Linked DNA regions of Elephas maximus indicus. The protein of the gene in region 1 interacts with the protein of each later gene in a pairwise test. Links are inferred from orthologs where the notes say so. Each region holds a gene or a part of one and is shown in the gene's direction. Other genes may lie near its edges.

Region 1 (8,287 bases):
CACACAATGGAATGCTACGCAATGATAAAGAATAATGATGAATCAGCAAATATCTCACATGGGTGAACCTGGAGGACATTGTACTGAGTGAAATAAGTCAGTCACAAAAGGGCAATACTGTAGGAGACCACTATTACAAAAAGTCAAGAATAGGTTTACAAACAGAAAGAAACGTTCTTTGATGGTTACTAGGGTTGGGAGGGAGAGGGAGGGAGAATCACTAACTAGATAGCAGACACACATTAATTCTGGTGAAGGGAAAGGCAATACATAATACAGGGGAAGTCGGCACAAAGTGACCAAGGCAAAGGAAGATACTGAGAGGTACGCAAGAATAAAGGGCAACGACAGTAAATCCTATAATGGATATAATCCTGCAACAACAGTAATGGCAAACAATTATTTGTGAATGGGTACATAGGTAGATATGTATGCTAAATAGATGTGGGAGGTTGTGCGGGAGTACACCCACACTCATATATATAGGTATAAAAAATAGGTATAGTTATGGATATTTCTATATACATATTTGTATATGCTGCATGTATATTCATATACATAACATGGCACGTAGGGGCACAGTTATGGAAACTTCTTAGACATATCCAGACTCCCCTAGGAGCTGTTACTGGGTTTGAGGGCTAAGGACCATAGTCTTGGGGGACATTTAGGTCAATTGGCATAACATAGTTCATAAAGATAGTATTCTACATCCTCGTTTGATGAATAGTATCTGGGGTCTTAAAAGCTTGCAGGTGGCCATCTAAGACACAACTATTGGTCTCTTCCCGTCTAGAGAAAGGTAAAGAAAACCAAAGCCTCAAGGAAGCAATCAGCCCAAAGGACTAATGACCCACGTGAACCACAGCCTCCTCTAACCTGAGACCAGAAGCACTAGATGGTGTCCAGCTACGCACTACTGACTGCTTTTACCGAGATCACAACCGAGGACCCTGGTTAATTTTAGAATGGGAGAAAAATGTAGAACAAAATTCAAATCATAAAAAGGCCAGGCTTACTGGTCTGACAGACTGAAGGAACCCCCAAGACTATTGCCCTAAGACAGCCTTCTAACCTGGAACTGAAGCCACTCCTGGAGGCCACCTTTCAGCTGAATAGACTGGCCTATAAAATAAACAATAACATACATGAGGAAATGTGCTCTTTAGAACAATCAATTATACGAGACCAGAAGGTCAACATTTGCCCAGAAACAAAGATGAGAAGGGGCAGGGAAACAGGATGAATGGAAAGGGGAACCCAGGGTAGAGATGGGGAGATGCTGACACATTATGGGGATTGCAAACAATGTCGTGGAACAGTTTGAGTATGAATTATTGAATGGGAAATTAATTTGCTTTGTAAGCTTTCACCTAACCCCCCTCTGTTGCCATCAAGTTGATTCCGACTCATAGTGACCCTATAGGACAGAGTAGAATGGCCCTATAGGGTTTCCAAGGAGCAGGTGGTGGATTTGAACTGCTGACATTTTGATTAGCAGCCATAGCTCGTTGTAGCTCTTAACCATTGAGCCACCAGGTCTCCAAACTTTCACCTAAAGCAGAATAAAATATTCCGGAAAAGAAAAAAATCCCTTTGAGTGAGATTTTGCCTGGTGCTAGAGGCTTTACATGTTTATGTCATTTTTTTTTTTTTAGCATTCTAGAAGGAAGGTGTTATTATGCCTTCTGATGAGAAGACTGAAGCTCAGAGAGACTAATTCACCAGGGTCAAATAGGCAGTCAGAGCTAGAGTTTTGATTCCAAGCCAGGCCTGACTCCAGAATCCAGCACATGGGCAGTGCATGTGGGCGTGCCCAGGGTTTCTCTGTTTAGCTGCCCTTGGTGGCTTTTGTTTTCCTGAGGTTTTTACTAAATCCTCCAGCTTCATCTTTTCATGTAGTATCCTTGAAGGCACTGGGTCTTCTCCTGGCGGCGCTTCTATAGAATAGCCTTGGCGTATGTGACTGTCAATGGCCTGGTTCACTTAGTTGGAAACCTGTTTGGCTTCCCAACTGGTACTTTCTAAAATAAAGTAAATTTTTCTCCTTTCAAATCTTAAAAGGGGAAAACTTACTGAGATGGGGGAAGTCATAAAAGCCAATGACTAGGGTGATCCAAGGCAACTACAACTACCAAAGTGGGGGACAGATGACATTTTTGCCTTATATTTGCCAATGTGCTAGAAATTCTCGTTTGTTCCTCATAGCTCCCTATGAGGTTGGGGTTTTTTGTTTTGTTTTTAATATATGTGGAATAAAGTGTCTTATTTATTTAAAATATATTTATCTAAAAGAATGCAAAATGTAGCTTAAAAATATTATTGGTGACAGTAGGTACAGCTTCTGATCACAATTCTGAATTTTAAGCAGAGTTTATATATAAAAAGTATATCAAAGTAATACATGTTCTGTATGCATTATTACCGTATGTCTCTGGTAGAGACACAATAAGCTGGTAATGGCAGTTGCCTTTGGGAAGAACTGGGGGAGCGGGCATCCAAGGTGGGAGCCATACCTTTCACTGTGATTTTTTTTTTTTTAACCATGTATCTGCATTATTTTTTTAATTGCAAAAAGAATTAGTTTTTATAAAGGATTTACCTGCTGAGATTTTGAGAACTTAAATAACTCTCTAAGTCACAAGTCCAAAAGGCACAGAGCCCAGAATCAAACCAAGTCTCTCTCTGTGGCTCATGTTTAAACTCCATCTCCTCCTCCCTAGAACAGAATCTGGGATAAAACTCTTTAATTAAAAATTCCATAGTTGCCTCTGCTGGACAGTGAATCCTCGGCAAGATGAACCTCTGTGTGGACTGAATAGTTCATTTCTTATTAAAAACTCAACTGTGCAAAGAGCTTCTTGCATTCTCCATTTTTACTTGAGATCCCCATAATGGCTCCTGGATGAAGTGGTGGCCCTTCCTTGGTGCTTCTCTTCATGAAAGTCCCCCTTGAGCTTCTCCTTCTCCTCACTACCATCAGGATATGTAGTAAGGAGGGGCACTCAGCGTCGAGAGCAGTGGTCTCCAAACTTTGTTAAAATGCATGACTATCAAAAAGGTTTTTTTTAATATACATTATAAACATATATATAACTATGTATTTATACATATTACTATCAATCTTATTTTAAATATTACTAAACTTCAATTTTTCTCTCACTTTTTCAGATAAAAATTCAGATTGAGTTGTCTTATCAGTGGCTCCCAGAAGAGTCACCCTCTGTGGGAGCACATCAGTTGTGGAGGCGAAGACAGAGGACTGGAACCAGGATCAGAGCTCAAAGATACTAGAAAATCTGGGCTCTAAATTCTTATGTAGGCCAGCTGCAAAATGCAACCATAACAACAGTTGCAAGACATTGAGGACTTTAACATTCATTGTAAACTTTGGAACAAATTGCTTACTTCTTTGAAGGCTGGATCCAAAAAGCACAATGAATACAAGAATGTGCTGTGGTAGCATGGTCAATTCCAGACAAGCCCATAAGCGGGCTGGGATAGGAGGCCCAACCCCTGAGATGGCATTGGAAGCAGAACTGATAGAACTCAGGGAAAGTGATAGGGATGAAGTAGTAGACCTCACCTGTGAATCTTTAGAACCCACAGTGATTGATCTAACTCAAAATGACTCTGTTGTGATAACTGAAGAAAGGAGGAGGCCAAGGAGAAACGCAAGGCCACTTGAAGGCCAAATTGGCAGCTGTGTGGTGAGCAGTGATGAGGAGGGGTTGATGAGGGACAGAGATGTGTATGTGATCAACAGTGTCCACCACAATGCCCTGGAAGAAGAAGCTTTACGTTGCCGGCTACCTGGTTATATCTGCTGTCGAATTTGCATGGATGGGTATTCAGAGATTGAACAGAGCGGAAGATGCATCTATTCTACAGAATGTGGCCACATCTTCTGTAGTCAGTGCCTCCGCAATTCCCTGAAATATACTAAAACTTGTCCAGTTTGTTTGAAAAAAATCCGTGGCCATGAGTACCACCGCATTTATGTATGATGTGTGCTGTGTTGTTCAGGACAGACAGCCTGGCTGGCGTTTTCCACGTGCTACTGTAGAACTATGGATTGTTGGCATCCAATGCTCTGAGCTCAAAAAGCCTGATTTTTAAGTCTGCTATCTGCAGTATATAAAAAGCTGTTTTGTTTCTACATACTATGAGATGCTCCTTTTTGTTTTTCTTTGGTTTCATGCCACAGGGCTGGACTTTGGTGGTTGTCTCAGTGTGCCAGAGACAAGTGGCTGTCCCCAAAGCAATTTTTCCCTTTCTTTCCCATAGTAATCAATTTCTAGTTGGCCACCTGTGGCCATTTTGGATCATGTAAATGAGGGCACCACCCTAGAGATGGTGGAGCAAGTAGACAGAAGGAACTTAGGAGACTGACAATGTCACAGACAAGAGCAACCGTACAAGTTTGGACTTTTATGTGCAAGAAGTATGAATTTCATCCTTGTTTAAGCAACCATTATATTGGGTCTGGAGCGCTGGTGGCACAATCGTTAAGTGCTCGGCTGCTAGCTGAAAGGTTGGCGGCTTCAACCCAGCCAGCGGCTCCACGGAAGAAAGACCTGGCAATCTTCTCCCATAAAGATTATAGCCTAGAAAACCCCACGGGGCAGTTCTGCTCTGTCACATAGGGTCACAGTGAGTTGGAATCGGCTCAGTGGCATCTAACGACATGTTGGTCTTGGCTAGATTAATGGAAACTGTATTCTGATTAATGGACTAGGCAGGGTATTGCCTCTGGATTTCTCGATTCCTTTGGGAGTAGAAGTCAGTCAGTCTTTTCTGGCCACCTGTCCAACCAGCAGAGTGAAGGGGGTATACTACTAGGCACCCTGCCCTGCTGAGTCTTCTAGTGACCTGTGAGGCCGGCCTGGGCAGTGGCCTGGGCACAATGGAATATGGAGGCATTGTCCTGTGCTCTCTTGAACCTGCCAGCCAGAGAAGCGCTGTCTTCACCCTGGATTTACAGGTATGCCTGCCTTTGACCACCCTGATCAACTGATCAACAAGTCTGCATGTGTCTCTGTGAACAAACAGATCAGCTCATCACCATCTCAGCTGCTCTGGGGCCTGGCTGGCTCAGAGGCCTTGAGAAGACCCTCCACTGCTATCCTTTGCAGAATGTCGCATGGCACTCACAGTTCAGTCTGCACTTTTGACTGGAGGAGGGTGGTCTCTGCAAAGCCCTCTCCCTTTCTCAGAGAGTGAAACGCGGAATAAAGCTTGCTCTACACTTGGTTTCCTATGGTCATGGCATGCTGCTCTTCCCCATGGAGGCTTACTTGCCTGTTGGCCTCCTTCCTGTCTACTCACTGCTTCTCTGGAATGCTGCCCACACCCCAGACCTCGGTTGTTCCGCTTGGTGGAGAATACGCAAGATAAATGTGGTGTCCACCCTGCGGTGGGTCCCTTTTATATTCTCAAATGAAATGAGAAAAAAAAAATGAAAAGGAAAAAAATTTAGAAAAACGTTCTAAATATTTCCTTTCCACATTTCATGAGATTGTCGCGTGCATCCCACTTTGGAGACTATTCGTTGCTCTGTGACACGGCACAGTACATCACAGACTTGGCTAATGAGTTTTGGCAAATATATACATTCATGTGCCTAACACCCCAATCAAAATATAGAACAATTCTGTCAACCTAAAAAGTCCCCTTGTGCCCTCTTCCAGTCAATCCCCACCGCTATAGGTAACCACTGTTCTGGTTATACCACTGTGGATTAGTTAGGGGACGCTGACATCTGTTACTTCATTGTCTAGCTCAGCTGTTGGGGGAAAAATTGGACAGGGATTTGGAGTACAAGCCCTAGGAAGGGATAACAGGCTTGTTTTAATGGGAACACGCCTTACCTTGTCTGAGGACTCTAAGCAAGAAGGAATTAGTAGTGGCACCTCCTAGGTACTAGGCACTGCGTGCATACATCACAGGCAGTCAGAGTGTAGACCTTGGCAAGGGTAGGAACCTCAACAGGGCGTCAAAACAAAAGTAGAAGACGCCACAGAGCACATTGGCAGGGCCACTTTGGTGTGACTATTGTACGTGGCTGCACGAAGAGAGAATTAAAGCTAGGAGAGATGCTTAGGGCTACATCATGAGCGGGGCATTGTGTGTTATGTACAGAGTTTAGATTTTATTCTACAGCCTCCAGGGAAGGATTCTGAAGACTCAGCATGATGCCAGTAACAGCTGAAGACGCAGTTGAAAAGCTGGGGGAAAAATGTGGAGGTGGAACTAGAAAGATTCTGGTGTTGATTTTCCTCTCAAAATGTGAGTGAATTATTTGATGTGTATGTGAGAAAAAAGGAAGTAGCCTTGGTCTGAGACGTTTGGTGCTGCACTGGCGCTCTCTTGCCCCTGATGTCTGAGAGTCCATGAGAGCGTGGCCAGTCCAGCTATGGAAGCCAGAAGGCAGCTGTGGCAGCTTTTGGGCGATGGTTGTTGGTGTGAGGTGGCAGTGATAGGAGTCAGGGGCAGGTGTGGCAGTTCCGATTTAGCTTTCGGTAGCCTTTTGGGTAAGTGGAAGCTTATTTGGCCAGAGTGGAAATGGAATTGGGAGGGGTAGACAATCAAACTTAACCACTTGGTTCCTGATCTAGCTTCAGACCAAATTAGCCCCATGGTGAAATCATCTGGCGATATTCATTCGTCTTTTCCTGATGTTCACTATCATTACACACAGACAACTTCTTGAGCTGTCATATGCCCAGGTTCCATGAACCACAGGCTGAAATCGATCTGCTTGAGAATAAGGAGAAGACAGAAAAAGTGAAGGAGTCAGACTGGTCACTAACCAAGGACTGAGCTTTCTGTCGCGTGGTCCACACTGAATTCATCCCTACTGTAAATATTGCATACACCTCGCAGGAGAAACATGTTGCTCTCCAAGAACCTAAAATAGTTAAGAGGAGTAAGCCTTTAGGTCCCTTCCTTACATCAGTTACATCCCACTGCTTTGGTATTAATATTTGCCTAGTGGGATAGTCAAGGGAGTGTTAATAAAGTAAAACAGGTTCCAATAACATCATTAGTCCAGTGTCTGTCTCAAAACAGGACTTTCCTGCAGCGAGGGTGGTGAGCAGCAGCAGCATTTGCACCAATGCACACACACACACACTCCCAACATTTCTTACCTACTGTTGGGCTTCCCTGACACACTCATGGATAGCTAGGACCAAGGAATCGCAGGGAGGCACAGGCCTTTGTCTTTAAGCCCTGCTGTTCTAGTGCCCTACAGTCCTGGCCTCCTCTAGGACTCTGGCTGGGTTGGGTCCCACTGGGTAGTTCTAAACAAGGTGTTCATGGTTAGGAACAGCAGGCTGTTCTAACAGACTTATTTAGAACAGTTTTAGACATCTGTTAATACACAGTATTTTAAGAGTAAAACTTTAGTTTTTTTTCCCTCCATCTTCAGTTTCATAGTCCAGTTCCATGTATCGTGCAGGTAGGTTCCCACCTGAGGAAAACGTTTTTTCTACTGTCCCAGGGGCTATTCACAGACAGCTCTAACATGATGACCCTCACTGTATGGGGGACATTCTTCAGGGTGGCATTTGATATGGGCTCTTCCCTGCCCCCTTAGCTTTCAGCAGGCAAAAACATCCTAGGAGCACCTTCCTTTCTTCTGTGGAGTGGCATGAAGGAGGCACCTGGCCCCAGGTGTAGCCCTGCCAGCATCACTGGCACTCTAAATGGAGGGTCTAGGAGCTGCCAGTATGTAGCAAGGACTGAGGCAGAGGTTACCTGTACCACTTGACTTCTACTGAGAAGAGGACCTTTAACTACCCACTTCCTTTCCTCTAAACAAACAGGAGCCACAGAAACAGCAGCTGCTTTATTCTGCAAACATAAAAGAGCAGGTATGGTGCATTGCTGGGTACTGCCTAATCATTAATTCACTCACTCATCCACTCACTTAGCTAGGATTTATTAAAATTTGAGAGTGTAGGTCTGTGTAACTAAAAAGCTGAATTAGTCTTTTCCTCCAAGAAGCTCATGGCTAGTGGAGGAGAGATATGCAAACAACTAGTTATGAGGATGAAAGAAATACGCAGTGTAATAAAAACTGTGATATAAGTACCTGCGAAGTGCTGTTAAAGTATAGAGGAAGAAATAATGCTGACTTCTCAGCATCTTTGGAGTCTAGAAGATTGGAAATTTCATTTATATTCCGCTTCTTTGGAGTACTTGATGTTTGCTGTAGGTGTTAGGTGCCGTGAAGTCAGTCCTGACTCAGCGACCCCATGTACGACAGAACAAAACACTGCCT
Region 2 (8,177 bases), on another chromosome or scaffold:
ACTCCCTAACACCCACCCCCTGGGTACAGATGATGCCTCTGTTAGTGACCAAAGCCTGATGTTTGGTGATGAGTCTTAACTGACTGACTGCACCCTATCCGTAACAGGCCTCGCCCTCGTTTTTTTTTTTTAACCATAACATTCCAACTTAATCTTCACGTTTCAGCTCTTAGTAACAAAGCTCCCTTTTGTTTTTCAGATTGGGATCATATAAACTGAGTCCAGCTGGCTAATTCTAAATATAAATTTTTTCACCACATATGCTTCTTGTCTTTGTATCTGTTTCTGGTTGGGCTGGGGTGAAGCCATGCTATGGTACACAGCTACGGGGCCTGGGCAAGACTCTTAAGTCTGCTTTGTTGCTATTAAAACACTCAGCCCTGACACCCCACCATACTCGTAACCCCTGGTGGTAGGAGCTTACGTACCAGACATACTTTGTGACCCAGATTAAGGTTAGCTGTCCTAAGACAACTTCACTGAGAGTTTTCATTAGCATCCATTACCGGGCAGTGTGTGGGTTGGCTGGCTTTCGGGTAGCACCCAGTCCCCACACACCCATCTACCGTGTCCAACCGGTCTGTCTGCTTCCCTCACCGCTTGCCCAAGAAAGGACAAGGACTTCAGAGGAGTGCTTTCATAGTATTTTCAATACCAGGTGCCCAAGGTTAGAGGTTGGTCACAAAGAACACCCCAGGCTTGGGGTGAAGTCCTAGTTGTTGTGTGAATTTGCTCTCCTAGGCTGTGTTTCCTGGCCTTGCCATGAGTCCCAGGCTCTGCTCTCACTCAGTCAAGAATTTGTCTTTGTGTTTCTGGCTGGGGACACGTTCAGGGCAGAAGTCAGAGCGAAGGAGGCGGGAAAAGTAGATGAGGATCATCACGTCCAGCATGAGCAGGATGCCCAGTAGAAAGGTACCCAGGTTCCTCTGGCCGGTGTAACGCAGGAAGAAATGGGTGAGGTAGGCCTGAGGAGCTAGGCGGAAGAGAAAGTACATGACCAGGTTGACATACTTGTTGACCCGGTAGAGAAGGAGATCCTGGGCATTGTTAATCTTCATCATCATGCGGATGGTAAGGAAGATGTTGCTGACCTCCACTAGTAGTGTTAGGACGCCCCCACCAACAAAGCTGCTCCAAAATATGCCTGAGAAGAAGGCACCCATGGCCTAGAAGGTGAAGAACAGGGGTTAGGGACCAGAGATGCCAAAACTTTCTTGGAAGTTGGTAGGAGTGTGATCACAACAGAGTTGGAAGCCCCCTCTTTCCTCCTGATGTAGTTAAAATGTCTTCTTCATTCAACATTAAACCTTGATCTCTGATCATAGGGCCTGGCACTGAGTGGAATTTCCAGCCTATTTAAGGAGGTGCAAGGTGCACTGGGGAAACCCTGGTGGTGTAGTGGTTAAGTGCTCTGGCTGCTAACCAAGAGGTCAGCAGTTTGAATCCAGAAGCTGCTCCTTAGAAACCCTATGGGGCAGCTCTACTCTGTCCTGTAGGGCTATGAGTTGAAACAGGCTCAACAGCAACAAGTTTGTTTTTTGGTTTAGGTGGGACCAAGGATTGCAGGCCTCAAGTGGGGAGCGTAGGGACAGTGCCAACCCTCAGCTTTTAGCATGAGAAAAGATGTAGGACAAGGGTAAGACCAGGGTTAAGAGAAGATGGCCTTCTCAGGTTCAGACTGGGTTGAGACCCAGTAGCCAGCACCAGGTCTATACCCCAGCCCCTGCTCACTTACCATGACGTGGTGGACAAGATATTCCCAAGAAGCTCGAGCCTGGCGGCTCACCACGATGTCTACCGTGTCGTGGATGAAATAACCTAGTGGAGGAATGGAAGGATAGGTCATGAAAAGGGCTGAAAAGCTTTCTTCTACCAACTTTGGCTTCCTGGGCAAGACCTACCTGCAGAGAAGCAGACAAGTAGATAGCCAGAAAGTGACCATGCCGTCTCAATCTCCACCAGCATTTCAGGGGTCTGCCATACACTGGAAGGGAGGAAAGAAGCGAGGCTCCCACCGTTTCGGCACTCCAAAGGGCCCTGGCCCTCAAATCCCCAATTACTGTTGGCAGTCCTGGGGGAGTCTGGGCCAGCCGCTCGCGCTATTGGCTGACTAGGGAGCAAGGAGGGGATTGGCCGAAACGCTGTGCCTCCGGTTTCCCAGGTGAGACTCCCCCTCCCCTGGGGCCGCTTCCACTCCTGGTTGGATAGGATTCCAAAATAGAGAATCAGGTGAGACTGCAGGGCCTCAGCCGCCCGTGGGCGATGAAGTAAAGCAAGAGCCAGTTTCAGCTCCCTGTGCACGGATCCCCTAGCTACCTTCAGTCCCCCAATCGCTTACTCACCACAGTAGCGCCCAGATTCCAGAAACTATGGAGTGAGCAAAGGAGACGAGCAGGTTGTGCCAGCGCCAGGTGCGCAGGGAGTCGGCACGCACGTGCGCGGGCAGGGGCAGGCGACAGAGCGCGCGCCGGAGCGCCCGGAAGGTCAGCGTGGCGCCCAGGAGCAGCGGCAAGGCGGGGTGCAGCAGAAGGGGCATACTGGCCCTCCCTGCCGTCTGTCTGCCCGCCTTCTTGGCGGCTGCCTCAGGTTGTTCGGGGAACAGGCTCCTTCTCAGGCCAGTCCGCCCCGAACACCTCTCCTGCCGCCGCCGGCCCTCGCGCCGGCCGCCAGCCTCGCACACTTTCCGCGGAGCCCTTTAGGCCCCTTCGCTCCGCCCGGCCCCTCCCCGCGCGGCCTCTGCCCCCGCCCCCAGCCGCCCGCGCCCCCGCCCCGCCCCGTCCGCCCGCCCCCGCTCCCCGGCGCCTGTGCCGCGCGGAGGGCGCGAGCCCCATTTCCCGGGCGCCTCCCGGGCCCCGCCAGGCCCCCGAAGGCTTCGGGCGAAGAGGGGCTGTCCCGGAGGCTCTGCTGCCGAGGCACCCCGCGCTGGCGCTTCCCGACTGCTGACGGAGTACGCTCCCGCCCTCGCTCGCTTGGCCTTATTAATCCGCGTCCCCACTTTCCCCGGGGCCACCGGCTTCCCCGCCCTGGGCGGGGACTGAGAGAAACCTCCCCACCCTCAACTTCTTTCTGAGCAAAGTTGGGCGGGACCTGTCACCCACGCCCCTTAAGCCCTGGTCCTGCGGAGGGGTCGGAGGCCCGGATCGGACGATGATTTCTGCACAGACCCTGTTCCTGCACTGGACCCACTAGCTTCTTCAGGCCAAGATGGTCGTGCTTACCTGCTCCTATTTCCCACCACCACCCCCCGCACCAAGTGGGTGCTTAGGAACTATTAACTCACCACCTCTTCTCCCAGCTGCTCCTGGGCTCCTGGGGCCAGGCGGCTGTCACAATCCTCCCTCAGACAGTCCCAGTCCTCTTCTGGCTCCCTGGAGGCTGGGGCGGGGAAGACCGACGCTTTGCCCAGGCTACTGGAGTGACCCTCATTCTCCAGCCCAAGGGCCTGGAGCAATTGCGGCTCGCGGCCACTAGGTGCCAGCCTGTCCTCATTGTGGCGAGGGCCTCCTGCCTTCAACGAGCATGGCAGTTGCGTTTTAGGAAAGTTAGACTCTGGGCAAAGGGAGGAAGCGGTTGAGCCCCGAGGGGGTAGGAAGGGACCAGGGGCTAGGGGAAAGGTGCTGCGGGAGGGAAGAGAAAGCCAGAAGTATGGGGCGCCAGAGACCCAGGGACTAAGCAGTTTGGGTGTTTGTTCTGCCTCCTCTGACAGCTCCAAGGTTACACATTAACCCCTGTGGGCCTCCTGGGTCAACCTCGGCCTGTTGGTTTCTAGGTGAGGGCACTAGTGTCCCGGGTGAACGGCTTTCCCTCTCTGCACTCCCCTTTGCTTACAGGGCAGCTTTGTCCACCTGCCTACAACGACCTGAGCCAGAGACTGAGGGGCTCTCGTGGTCATTCCATGCGCGTTGGTTTGGGGCGGGGACAGAGGATAAACACCCGTTTCCTCAACATACCTCGCTCACTCAGAAATAAAGATACTAACCTTGAGCTAATCACCATCCTCCTTCTTATGACTGAGATTTTCATGGAGCTCCCGCAGAGCAGGAGCCGCCGGAGAGAACCTTGAATTAAACTGACTTCCCATCAAGACCCGAGATGGTGATACCAGCCAGCACCCCCTACCTCTAGGCAGACCTTGCACCTATCCCAGACAGGAGTCCACCTATCTCCCATCTTCCCCCCATTAAGTTTTTTCTAGTTGAACGCTGAGGGCAGAGCACCCTGCTGCAGCGTTGCGTGTGTGGAGGGGACAGTTGAAGGATGCTGACAAGCGCGGTGCTCACTACTCGGGACAGACTGAAAACTGTGTCACATCCTCCCCAGGTGAATCAAACTGCACAGCTCGGGGTTTCCCCGGTCCCTCCCTAGGCAAACATGAAACTAACCCTGCTCCCTACCCCGCAGACCGAAAGGGCTGACACTCTCGGTTCAGTTTTGGTTAAGTATTTATCGTTTCCGTGCCAGTGCGAATCCGCCCTCTCCTTCTGAAATAACGTCACTCTTGGGCAGAGGGAGGTGGGTCCTCGCTTCCCACCCCCAGCTGGTCTGCGGAAGGTCAATTCTCGGGGCACGGTACCCTTCAGGTGTATCGAGGCTTTGCGAGGACTGGATTGGGCCACACGTGTGGGGAGCGACGGTACCGTGCTGGCTACAGCGGGGCGCGACAAACAGTGGGATATCACCCCATTCCCCGGACCCTGTGAGGGGCGGGATCGAGAAAGAAAAGCGCTCGCGTGCCAGGGTTGCCTGGACGGTGTAAATCAGCAGAGACGTGGAGGGGAACCTAAGTCTGAGCTCTACTTGCTCCGCCCCACAAATACTCACAGGGCGGGGGCGGGGCCTTAGAGTGGGCGGGTCTGCGCACGCGCTGTGTCTGTATGTGGCGGGGTTCCGGAAGTGTGGCTCTGAAAAATGAGATGGAGAAGTACGAGCGGATCCGTGTGGTGGGAAGAGGTGCATTCGGGTGAGCCAGGGGTCTGGGGGAGGCAAGTGCTTGGAAAGAGGGAAAATAAGCCCCAGCTCTGGCCGTGACGTCGCTGCCCGGTTAGCCCCGCCCCAAGACGTGAGCCCTCACTCTGTGGAGCCGCGTCCAGGTTTCCGGTCCCAGATCTGGCGGGAGGCTCCGCCCCCAAGGAGGCCACGCCCCTGGCAAGCTTACGCGCCCTCGCCGAGTTCTTCGCTGCGTGACTCATTCATTCAACAAACACTGAGCGCCAACTGTACAAGTCAGATCCTGGGACTGAGTAAACACTTATAACTAAAACTTGCATGATCCTTGATCTACGTCAAAGAATTTACAGACTATAGAAGCAAACTATACAATAAGCAAGACAAATTGTTAAAGGAGTTATAAAGGTATGGCAGTTAGGGAAGTTATTAACAGGCTGTAAGGAGAGTACACCACCAGGGAAAAAATTTATTAGGGTTTGGTCAAGGAAGGCTTTTCTGAGCTGTGAGGTTAAAGCCAAGACTTGAAGAATGAAGACCAGTGGTCGGAGAGTGAAGGCCTTTTCAGGCAGGAAACTGCATATGTGAAGATCCTCAGGAGGGAAAAAATTCAGAGCATTCAAGGAACTGAGAAAAAGACTAGTGTAGCTGGGATGTAGTGGGCAGGGTAGAGAATTTATAAAATGAGGTTGTCAGGGTGGACAGGGACCAGATTATGGCTTTGTAGGCCGAGGTAAAGGGGTTGATTTTATTTGCAGTATACGGGGAAGGAAGCCCCGGTGGCCCAGTGATTAAGAGCTCAGGCTGCTAACCAAAAAGTTCGCAGTTGAAATCCACCACCAGCTCCTTGGAAGCCCTATGGGGCAGTTCTGCTCCGTCCTTTAGGGTCGCTATGAGTCAGAAGTGACCCAGCGGCAACCTTTTATAAGGGGAAGAGTTTTAAGCAGAGGAAGGGTCTGAACTGACTTGAGTATTTAAAACATCACTCTGGCTGTTATGTGGAATTTAGATTTGAGGGTGACAAGAGCAAAAGGGACCATTTCAGAGGCTAGTGTGCATTTTAGGTAAGAGACGATGATTTGATCAAGCGTTATAGCAGAGGGCATGGAGAGAAGTGGATGGCGTCATGATATTTTGGAGGCAGAAACACAGGATTTACTGATGAGTTGGTGTGAAATGGAGGAAAGACCCTGGGATGATTCTCAGGTGTCTGACTTTAATAAGTAGAGGATGGTGGTGCCATTTACTGAAATGGAAAAGAGCCGGGAAGGAAAAGTTTTTGGGGGGGTAGGAAACAAGAGTTTTAATTTGCTAAAGTGTAGGATGGCTATGAGCCATTCAGGTGGAGATGCAAAGCAGGTAGTTGGATGTGTCAGTCTGGGGCTCAGAGGAGAGGTCTGGGCTGGAGATATAAATTTCAGACTGTTCAGCAAATATTTATTGAGCTCCTAATAAGTGCTAAACACTGGGCTATGCACTGGGAACTTAGGGGTAAACAAGGGGAGTGTAGTCCCTGCTATTATGGACATTGACCACAGACTAGAAATGAAATAATAATATGAATGGTTTGTACATATTGAGCATTTTCTGTGTGCCAGGAACTTGCTAAGTGCCTTCTCTGCGTTTTCTCATTTGATCTTAACAGCTCGGTGAAGTCGATTCTATATTATCCCTATTTTCCATATGACGATGTCACATAACTTGTCTAAGACCAGACAGTAAGAGGAGAAGCAAGGATTTGAACCCAGGCAGTTGACTCCAGAGTCTGTGGGAACTTAAAGCAAAACAAAACAATTGCCATCAAGTTGACCCTGACTCATGGTGACCCCATGTGTGTCAGAGTAGAACTGTGCTTCGTAGGGTTTTCAATGGCTGGTTTTTCAGAGTAGGCTTCCAGGCCTTTCTTCCAAGGTGCCTCTCGGTGGCCTAGAACCGCCAACCTTTTAGTTAGCAGCTGAGGGTATTTACCAATTTCACCACCCAAGGACTCTTATGGGAACTTATAGATCAGGATTACTTTTTCCTCATTGCGCCTGTGGTAAAACTGAGTTTCAGATAAGTTAAATAACTTCCCCAAGGCCTCACACCACGTTTGTGATCATTCCTCCCGTTTCTCCAGCTCAGTGTTTTGGGCCCTTGGCTTCCCATTGCTGTTGAGTCCATTCCGACTCATAGCGGCCCTATAGGACAGAATAGAGCTGTACCATAAGGTTTAAGAGGTTGAAACCTTTATGGAAGCAGACTGCCACATCTTTCTCCTGTGGAGTGGCTGGTGGGGTTCAAACTCCTGACCTTTCAGTTTGCAACTGAGTGTTTTAACCACTGTGCCACTGGGACTCCTTGGTTAGATGACTTCTTAGTCTGGGTCCCCGTTCTGCTCTTTTAAGGAGCTCCCAGGCACCAGGTTTGCCCCGCCTGACCCGAGCCCGCCACCGTACTCCGTGTCCCCAGGATTGTACACCTGTGCCTGCGCAAGGCTGACCAGAAGCTGGTGATCATCAAGCAGATTCCAGTGGAGCAGATGACCAAGGAGGAGAGGCAGGCGGCCCAGAATGAGTGCCAGGTCCTCAAGCTGCTCAACCACCCCAATGTCATTGAGTACTACGAGAACTTCCTGGAGGACAAGGCCCTCATGATTGCCATGGAATACGCACCAGGTGGGCCAGCCTCCTTGCATTGGCCTGGCTCCAAGGACCCCTTGCCTCTGGGACAGGCAGACACAGATTAGCCAGCTTCCTGCTTTGGGATGGGCTTGGCTGAGGGTCAGGGGTATAGAGTTCTGGTCCCAGTCGTGTGACCCAGGCCCCTTGCCCTCCCCGGCCTCAGTGTAGTATTCCATAAAAGAAGAGGTGCTGTCCTGGGCATGGAAAAGCCCGGATTCTGACCACCCTGTTGTGGTCATAGGTGGCACCCTGGCTGAGTTCATCCAAAAGCGCTGCAATTCCCTGCTGGAGGAGGAGACCATCTTGCACTTCTTCGTGCAGATCCTGCTGGCACTACATCACGTGCACACCCACCTTATCCTGCACCGGGACCTCAAGACTCAGAACATCCTTCTCGACAAGCACCGCATGGTAGTCAAGATTGGCGACTTCGGCATCTCCAAGATCCTTAGCAGCAAGAGCAAGGCCTACACGGTGCCTGGGCATGGAGGGGACCTCGGGAGTGCAGGAGGTCTTGGGGGCCAAGGTCCACATTGTATCCCTACCTCCTCCCTTCTCCCCCCACCCAAA

What was found.
Region 2: the proteins of TRIM69 (region 1) and NEK8 interact in binary tests that used the Homo sapiens proteins (3 or more experiments, as listed by UniProt). The two-hybrid records come from large-scale screens. The link is inferred for Elephas maximus indicus from reciprocal best matches to the Homo sapiens genes TRIM69 and NEK8.

The regions. Positions count from the first base shown.
Region 1 is NC_064828.1:11,406,937-11,415,223, reverse strand, and holds the start of TRIM69 (E3 ubiquitin-protein ligase TRIM69), read left to right. Parts: upstream 1-5,077; 5' UTR 5,078-5,143; coding exon 5,144-5,416; intron 5,417-8,287. Other genes in the region: E3 ubiquitin-protein ligase RNF4-like, read left to right, coding at 3,438-4,007.
Region 2 is NC_064837.1:23,178,566-23,186,742, reverse strand, and holds the start of NEK8 (serine/threonine-protein kinase Nek8), read left to right. Parts: upstream 1-4,874; coding exon 4,875-4,960; intron 4,961-5,071; coding exon of another isoform or gene 5,072-5,189; exon of another isoform or gene 5,190-5,756; intron 5,757-7,331; exon of another isoform or gene 7,332-7,395; coding exon 7,396-7,601; intron 7,602-7,848; coding exon 7,849-8,177. UniProt on the Homo sapiens protein: Required for renal tubular integrity. May regulate local cytoskeletal structure in kidney tubule epithelial cells. May regulate ciliary biogenesis through targeting of proteins to the cilia.